Linked DNA regions of Neurospora crassa OR74A. The protein of the gene in region 1 purifies or fractionates together with the protein of each later gene. This does not show direct contact. Links are inferred from orthologs where the notes say so. Each region holds a gene or a part of one and is shown in the gene's direction. Other genes may lie near its edges.

Region 1 (4,474 bases):
CAACCTCAAACTATCCGAAGAATAACTCAGTAAATAGGGCCTATATCTCTTTATATAGTATAAAAGTAGGGTAATTTAGACCATCGGGTATATTAACGGTATACTAAATAATAAGACTACTATTATTAAAAGCTTCCTTTATATTGTTATTTTCGTCGAAAAAACTAATAAAATCTATACTTCTACGCCTAACTTTAAACTACTCTACTATAAATACCTTAATATTAAACGACTTTAGTTTAATAACTTATCCTTTTATCGCTACTTTTATTACGCATTTACTATACCTTAATTGGAGGCGAGCCTAAAGGTCGAATATCTCTTTAATAATATTATAATTATTATCCTCTATAAGTGTATTATTGTAGTTTACTCTATTATCGACGTCTTGCTCTACTTATATATAATCCGGGACTTAAATATTAGATGGAGTAGAAGAGAGAGCAAATAATTCTTTAATTCCTAATAGTTTAGTTGCTAAAGAAGTACGTTAGTAATATGGTTATACTTAAGAGCGATTACGACGATGTTGTATGTGGGCTGGAAGATTGCGAATGGATTGCGCATCCTTGTGTTGGGAGTCTTCCTCTATGGTAATGATAATGAAATTGATACCGTTGGAAAGCTGTGATTTTTGCGATCCGAATTAACTAGAAACCCTCGTGATGCGACGTGTTGTTGTGAAGTTATAGTGTTGAGGTTGATATTCTGGGGGGTTGGTCAACCTCTACGCGATTCTAATCGAGTTGTGTACTCAGACCTCCTTGAGCGGAGGGCCAAAATATTGCCCGGTTTGGAAAGAAAATTCAATTTATCAATAAAATGCTGAGATTGTGGTATTCGTTACAGGTCCGTGCACGCCCGGGAGCTCAAGGTGGGTCTGAGCGCTGAGATAACTACTTAGCATCGATCCGGTTGTGAATTTGGTGCTCACTTGAACGAGGAAGTGCCTTGCAAACGGTTGTATCAAAAGCGTCCACGTCTCAGTGTCCTTGACGGTAAATAACTTGAACCTAAGTCACCCACAGATTAAGCAAGCACACGGAAGCTTCACTAGGGTGAAGATCAGACGACGCGGTGTTTTTCTGTTTGAATGAACAAGGTGTGTCAGTATGCCTTCAGCTTTCTGGAGCAATCATTGTGAGGCTGGGTGCTCACGATCCCAGTGGTGCCTAGCGTACTGTTGTTGGAGCGCCCGTCTTTGCCACACGCAACAGAGAACTTCCATTCCATAGATTCTACGTACCGCACTCACGACACTGACGGGCGTACGCTACGCTAGAAACTGAACGCTCAGACTCAAGGTACCGAGAGCGGGGACGCGCTAAAAAGGTACCGGCCTCTCAAAGTCGACCACCTCAGGGATTTTGGGGCAGGTGAGGTGCACCGACCCAGGCGAACCAGGGAGAATTGCGGTACAGACTGGACCTGGCGAACATCCCCCTGCGACCGCGACGACGCATCGAAACCTTCCCTTCCGTTGGCTGGAGTCCCGACTGGAGACTCAGTTCTCACTCACCACACACCCACACACCCACCCACCCACAGCACCCATCGATACTTCCACAGCCTGGCGGTCCTGGCAACGACCGCCCAGAAAGAGTTGCAGGGTGGAGCCCCAGGATTTATCTTTAACAGCCTCCCGACTGCCCTTGCTCTTCCCGAATTCGTTCATGCTGCCCTCCGCCTTCGCTTTTTTCCCTTCACTTCTTCTCCCTCACCTTGCGCCATTCTGGTTCTCTCCACCCTCCAGGCTCTCCACATCCTCTCTCTTTTTTTTTTCACACACTCGTTCCCTCGACCGGCCATCTCGATTTTTCGCGCACCCAAGACCTTGACGAGTTCCCGAGACCCTCGCTTTCCAGCCTTGGTCACCAAGTGACTTGCACCAAGACTCTGTCCACGGTCAAAGGTGTAAGCGGTCACCTCCAGCGGCGAATTTCTTTCTCTCCACGTCTCCCTTCCTAGCGACGACCGACGACAACATTTTCGACTCGGTTGCCCTGCAGACATCTTGCTAGCAACCCTTCGCCACTGTTTAGCGGCCGCTACCTCTACGGGTCGGATTTTGCGCCCTTACACATTCGTACGTACCTACTAGTGCCGACACCGCAACACGCTTTAGCAACCATGTCTTCGGGCTCTGAAGACGACAAGCCGCTCGCCAAGGTCAACGGCCACGGTACGTCAATGCTTCTGTGATCAGTCACACACTTTCATCCATCAGCCCTCGCTTATTTCACTCTATCCTCTGCCCCGTCACACTGTTTGCCAGCCGATCTGAGTCAACGTGTCATGCCTTCCATGGCCTCGTCTAAATGCAATCTGTCATTGTACCACGCCCATGAGACTAATCTTTTCTCTTCAACTATAGCCTCGGCGCCGACCATCTCCAAGGCCGATGATCGTGCCATGGACGCTGCTGATTCCAAGGTTCACATGGCTCCCGTTGGTGTCTCCATCCGTAATGGCCCCGTCGACCAGGACAGGATGGACGTCGACTCCTCAGTAAGCGGTCAGGCTAAGCGCAAATCGCGGACATCCATTGATCAGTCCATCAACTATAAGGATGACTCCAGTGATGACGAAGCACCCTTGGTAAGTTTCCCAGTCTTTGCAGCTTGGTATCCTTGCTTGGTCTGTGGCTGACCAGGACAGGCGAAACGTTCAAAAACACAACATAAGCAACCAGACTCCGATAGCGACGACGAGCCGATTGCGAAAAAAAATGGCGCGAGATTGCCTCCCTCCGCCAAGAATACGGATATGGACGTAGATTCTGATGACGACGAACCTCTCGGAAAGATCGCCGCGAAGAAGGCCAATATCGAGAAGGAAGCCGCCAAGGAAGCCAAGAGTATTCGTGCTGGTACCAAGGCCAAGAAGCCTGCTGCTAAGAAGGCCGTCAAGGATGAATCCTCCGATGACGAACCCCTTGCGAAACCCACCAAGCGACAGGTCAACGGCACAGCTGCGAAGAAGACGAATGGTGTGAAGAAGGAAGAGTCTGACTCGGATGTGCCCATCGCTAAGCGGGCGAAGAAGGCACCTGCCGCGAAGCCTGCTGCAAAGCCTGCTGCAAAGCCGGCTGCAAAGGCTGCCACGAAGGCCGCCCCGAAGGGCAAGGTTGCCGCTGTCAAGAAGTCCGTCAAGGAGGAATCGAAGGACATCACCGATGAGGACGATGAGGAAGAGGAGTATAAGTGGTGGGAGGAGTCGGCAAAGAAGGAAGATGACAGTATCAAGTGGACCACCTTGGAGCACAACGGCGTCATCTTCCCCGAGGATTACCAGCGTTTGCCCAAGGACGTCAAACTGCTCTACGATGGAACGCCGGTCGAACTCGATATCGAGGCCGAGGAAGCTGCGACCTTTTTCGGCTTCATGCTTAACTCGACGGTGAATGTTGAGAACCCAACTTTCCAGAAGAACTTCTTCAGGGACTTCAAGGAGATCCTAGATCGGACAGGTGGCGCCAAGGACAAGAATGGCAAAAAGGTTGACATCAAGGAATTCGAAAAACTCGACTTCTCCCAGTTGTGGGCTTACAAAGATGCTCAAACGAAGGCTAAGAATGCCCGGTCGTCAGCAGAGAAGAAGGCCGAGAAAGCCGAAAGGGACAAGAGGGACGCCCCCTATCTATATTGCAAGTGGGATGGGCGAAAAGAAAAGGTTGGTAACCCCAGAGTGGAAATTCCAGGACTTTTCCGTGGTCGCGGTGATCACCCCAAGACCGGGTGTATCAAGAAGCGTGTTTTGCCAGAGCAAATTACCATCAACATCGGCAAAGAGGCCAAGGTCCCAGAGCCGCCAGCTGGCCACAAGTGGAAGGCCGTTCAACATGACAACAAGGCAACTTGGCTCGCGATGTGGCAAGAGAACATCAACGGACACTACAAGTATGTGATGTTGGCAGCAAACAGTACTGTGAAGGGCAAGGCCGATTTCAAGAAGTTCGAAAAGGCCCGTGAGCTCAAGAAATACATTGATCGCATCCGTGCCGATTATACCAAGGACCTCAAGAGCGAGGTCATGGCTGACAGGCAACGCGCAACGGCCATGTACCTCATTGACAAGTTCGCTCTCAGAGCCGGTAACGAAAAGGATACCGAGAACGAGGCCGAGACTGTCGGTTGCTGCTCTCTCAAGTACGAGCACGTCACCCTCAGGGAACCCAACACTGTCATTTTCGACTTCTTGGGCAAGGACAGTATTCGTTTCTACAACGAGTTCACGGTCGATCGCCAGGTCTTCAAGAACCTCAAAATGTTCAAGAAGCCTCCCAAGGAGGACGGAGATGACATCTTTGACAGACTGACGGTAGGTTTAATCTTACCCACTTTACAATATTTGGAGGTTTGCTAACGCGCTGTGCAGACAACCCAACTCAACAAGCACTTGTCGAGCTACATGCCTGGGCTCACGGCAAAGGTTTTCCGTACTTACAACGCATCGTACACCATGTCCAAGCTGC
Region 2 (4,454 bases), about 870 kb from region 1:
CGCGGCGGCGGCAGGTCTGGCGAAGCCGGAAGCCCGGCGCAAACACGTTCGGCAGATCATGGCGATTATCCCGGGGGATGGTCGGAGGTGTATGTGTGTAATCGTCGGCAGTCGGCCAGTGGGAATTACACCAAGGATCGGATCGATTGGATAGACAACTCGCTTAAATCAGCTTCACAGGTGCGAATGTAAAAAGACACGCCGGCCGGAAGTGGCTTTCGGCCTGGGGAGACGGACACGGGATGCGCGCGACGAATTGGAGGGGTGGGACGGGAGCTAAAAATTTCTACGGCGGGTGAAAAGCACCACTGGAGCAGTTTTGATATTGGACAGGAACCGTTGCAGCTGTTACTAGGGCAGTGACAACTAAAGCACTTTATGTATTCTATAGTCCAAATCTGCGAACTGTACAGACAACATACGTGCAGAAGAATAAATGAAAAAAATAAAAAAAATGGGAGGCCGAATTGAGTCCTGTTATTCCTCTAGTCCCCCGTGTGTCTGTTGTTGCCGAGTTCTGTTAATATTTACATGCCTGCTCGTAAGTCTCATTAAAGGGCCCGAGCACTCCTCTGGGGGTTGCTGAAGCCGAACGTCTGAAAGGGTGGTCCGCGATGTTATGGAGCCCCTTCCCGGTTCGACCATGACTGACTCGCTCTCCGGTTCTCGAGCGCACTGCCCTGCCAAAACTCTCGCTGCCCAGATCATTTCAGCCCCAAATCAGCTCGCTCCAGCTTGTACCCTCCGGTCTGCTCCCAGAATGATGGAGGAGAACTCATTGCTTTGGCTGGTTCGCGAAATGGTTCTGCTGCTCGAAAAGATAACCCTGGACACGGTTTTCGGAGAGTAGTTGGAGGTAGCGTTCTGTGTCAGAAACAAGTCAGCAAGAGAAGGGGAAAAAGCACCATCGCATGGCTGATTGCATGCAATTGCTGAATGGTTCTGCCGCCAAAGAACCACGGGAGATGGGAAGCACTCCTGTACCCACCTCTCAGATGTCCGCACTTCTCCAGATGGTTCACGCCCTCCCTATAATAGCACTTGGACAACTCCTCCCGCACCAGGCGACCCATCATAACTCGGACCCATTGCTCGCGGATAATGGCATCCTGGGCCTGCTTCAGGCGCTTCGTATCATTGTAGTCGACGCCGTCAAAGGTGGGCGGGACGGTGGGCTTCTTGGCCAGGAAGGCCGCCGATTCGGGAGTAGGCATTGCTGCTAGATGTGGGCGACTCGCGAGAGAAGACCGAAAGCACAAGTTGTCGTCAAACAAAGCTGTAGAGAGGGAGAGAGACGCAGCTTATCGTCCCGCACTTTCGTCTCGTCGATGATGCCGTTGCAACCAACACGGCGCATCTCTAAGCTCCAAGTGGTGCCCCGGTCGTATGGTGGCTCGAGCTTTACAGCACACCTGGGAAACCAGGCAGGCAGGGACGCGCTAGCCCAAATGCTGTTCGTCTTTCGGACCATGCAGTAAAGTTGCAATTGACGGGGGGTCGTGGGCCGTGGCAGGCATGGGAAGGAACTTTCAGGTGGAACGAACTTCCCCACCGCGGCTCGTGCGCGGGCCACCGCCTTCGCGTGTGTACATAACCTCCACCCGGATCCTCCACTGCCCCAGGTCCCCTGCCCCACTAGAAAGTCCCATATCAAAGTGTGATAACGATTTTTTTTTCTGCCGTAGGTTGATCAGCCAGAGATTTTACGGTACCCGCCACCCTCTGCTCCCCATTTAAACAGCAGTCTTCCCGACGAAATTTCTTTTCTTCAGACGCATCCTTTATCCCATTCATCATCTTCATCCTTCTTTTTTCTTCAATACCCTTTAGCGGATTCCATCACTTCATCACATCACTTTACAACAACCGCTATCATGGGCAAGAAGGATTCCGTCAAGGCCACCAAGGCCACCAAGGTCGCCAAGGCCGAGCCCGTCAAGGCTGCTAAGCCCGTCAAGGCCACCAAGGCTGAGAAGCCCTCCAAGAAGTCCAAGAAGGAGGAGTCCTCTTCCGAGGAGGAGGAGTCCGAGTCTGAGTCTTCTGAGGAGGAGTCCAGCGAGGATGAGTCCAGCGATGAGTCTTCCGATGAGGAGATGACCGACGCTCCTGCCGCCAAGGAGACCAAGAAGGCCGAGTCTTCCGACTCTGACTCCGATTCTGACTCTGACGACTCCGAGTCTGAGGAGACTTCCGAGGAGGAGAAGCCCGCCGTCAAGGAGGAGAAGAAGGAGAGCGTGAGTACAACATAACTTCCTCTTCATAGTATACATCTGCTAACCCACGTCTGCTTATAGTCCGATGATGAGGAGAGCGACTCCGACAACTCCGATTCCGACTCTGACTCTGACTCTTCCGAGTCCGAGGAGAAGTCTGAGTCCGAGGAGCCTTCCAAGAAGCGCAAGGCTGAGGAGTCCTCCGAGGAGGAGGAGGCTCCCAAGAAGGCCAAGACTGAGGAGGTTGCCGACGACAAGAGCACCCTCTGGGTTGGTAACCTCGGCTGGGGTATCGATGATGCTATCCTCTTGGCTGAGTTCGAGGACTGCGAGGGTGCTAAGAGCGCTCGCGTCGTCACTGACCGTGAGTCTGGCCGCTCGCGCGGTTTCGGCTACGTCGACTTTGCCACCAACGAGCAGGCGCAGAAGGCTTATGATGCCAAGAGCGGTGCTCTTCTTGAGGGCCGTGAGATGCGTCTCGACTTCGCTGCCAAGGATGCCGGCAACAAGCCCCAAGACAAGGCCGCCAACCGCGCTGCCAAGCACGGTGACACCATCTCTCCCGAGTCCGACACCCTCTTCGTCGGTAACATGCCCTTCTCCGCCGACGAGTCTGTCGTCTCCGACTTCTTCAACTCCGTCGCTTCCGTTGCCAGCCTCCGTATCCCTACTGACCAGTGAGTATCCCACTATACCTTTGTGTGCATCTTTGCCGAGCAGAGTTTTAACAGTCTTCTAGGGAGTCCGGCCGCCCCAAGGGCTTCGCCTATGTTACCTTCAACTCCGTTGAGGATGCCAAGAACGCTTTCGAGCAACTGAACGGCTCCGACCTCAATGGCCGTCCCGTCCGTCTCGACTACGCCAAGCCCCGTGACAACAACGGTGGCGGTGGTGGCTTCGGCGGCGGCCGCGGTGGTGGCCGTGGCGGTGGCCGTGGTGGTTTCGGTGGCCGTGGTGGTGGCCGTGGTGGCCGTGGTGACTTCGGTGGCCGTGGCGGTGGCCGCGGTGGCGGACGGGGTGGTTTCGGTGGCAGCCGTGGTGGCTTCCAGGGCAAGAAGACCACCTTCTAAAGTGGTCAAGTGGGATTCCCGCACACATTGGGGAATGTGATACCATAACCTGAGGGCATTGAAACACAGATTCGCACTGGAGGGCTTAGTGGGTTGTCGGCTTTTGAAATCTTACAGTGTCTCCTTCGTGGGAGATCGTGGGCTTTTTGAGAGATAACTGCTTCCCTGCTGCGTGGCAGGGAAAGCAAGCGATACCTGAGGGCTTGAAGATGGTGGTGAGCTGGTAGCTCTTTGACAGCTCGTTCGTACATGGCACGTCTGTTCTTTCTCAACAGGAAAGTTAGGACCTCTGCCGGTGGGCTTGTTGGCTGGTTCCATGACCCTTGCGCGGTCGTCTGCACTTTGGATTCGATGCATACCAGAAGAATGATGGGTTCCAAGTACTCTGTGGGCTCGTGGGCTCTTGTGGGCTTTAGCTGACAAAACGGAAGAACGGAAAAGCGAGGACCTGTACTTGCACATGCCACAAACATGTGTTCACACAGCCTTATCCAGTCTGTGCTTCGAGGGTGGTTCATCGTTTCCTGTTCTTTTCCGCATACTATTGTCATTGCTTCTTCCTGTGGGGTTACTAAAGAGGGCATCTAAAAGTTGGTTTGGGATTTTCCGGTACAATCACGGGGTCACCTGGGGGCACTTAAAATGGGTTTCGGGTCTTTTCTTTTTCTTTTTTTTTCATATCAGCATTTGCCCTTCACGATACATCATCGATGGCGTAACGGTACAGAACACGGGTGATCCTTCTTAACGAACATTACCCGGTAAGTAATCTGATACTCTTCCCCTGTTTCATATACCCAAGTCCCAACGGACTAGAAGTAGCAAGAAAGAAGTATTGTTCAGTAACTGTGTTGTTCCAATGATGTGACTTGCCGTTATGTATGTGATGTGGTATTTTGAGGCGTAGACTTGTGTGTATGTATGTCGATAGGATCTTCAAAAAACTGCTCGTTCACAAAAGTCTTGATCATTCGTCACGTGTTTCAACATGGTCACAGTTGACCGCGATAGCTCCCAAAGTGTCACGAAGCAAATCCCCAAAAAGTTGAATTCGATGAACTCGGTTCGTCTACAAGTCATCTCAACAGTCGATACACAAACAAGCCCAAACTAAAGCCAAAGTCACGCAACACCAACAAAAAAAGAACCTAGACCTGCGACCAAATCGGGT

The links.
Region 2: the proteins of NCU09118 (region 1) and NCU03092 purify together in Saccharomyces cerevisiae (affinity purification with western blotting; 3 studies listed by BioGRID). This does not show direct contact. The link is inferred for Neurospora crassa OR74A from reciprocal best matches to the Saccharomyces cerevisiae genes TOP1 and NSR1.

Annotation. Positions count from the first base shown.
Region 1 is NC_026501.1:5,391,312-5,395,785, reverse strand, and holds the start of NCU09118 (DNA topoisomerase I), read left to right. Parts: upstream 1-1,397; 5' UTR 1,398-2,130; coding exon 2,131-2,182; intron 2,183-2,374; coding exon 2,375-2,598; intron 2,599-2,658; coding exon 2,659-4,320; intron 4,321-4,377; coding exon 4,378-4,474.
Region 2 is NC_026501.1:4,518,146-4,522,599, reverse strand, and holds NCU03092 (nuclear localization sequence binding protein), read left to right. Parts: upstream 1-1,638; 5' UTR 1,639-1,874; coding exon 1,875-2,234; intron 2,235-2,294; coding exon 2,295-2,890; intron 2,891-2,952; coding exon 2,953-3,283; 3' UTR 3,284-4,129; downstream 4,130-4,454. Other genes in the region: NCU03094 (hypothetical protein), read right to left, coding at 1-60; nuo12.3 (NADH:ubiquinone oxidoreductase 12.3kD subunit), read right to left, coding at 776-864, 989-1,214. UniProt on the Saccharomyces cerevisiae protein: Involved in pre-rRNA processing. Specifically binds nuclear localization sequences. Candidate for a receptor at the nucleus that may be involved in both RNA and protein transport. Binds telomeric sequences of the type (TG[1-3])n in vitro.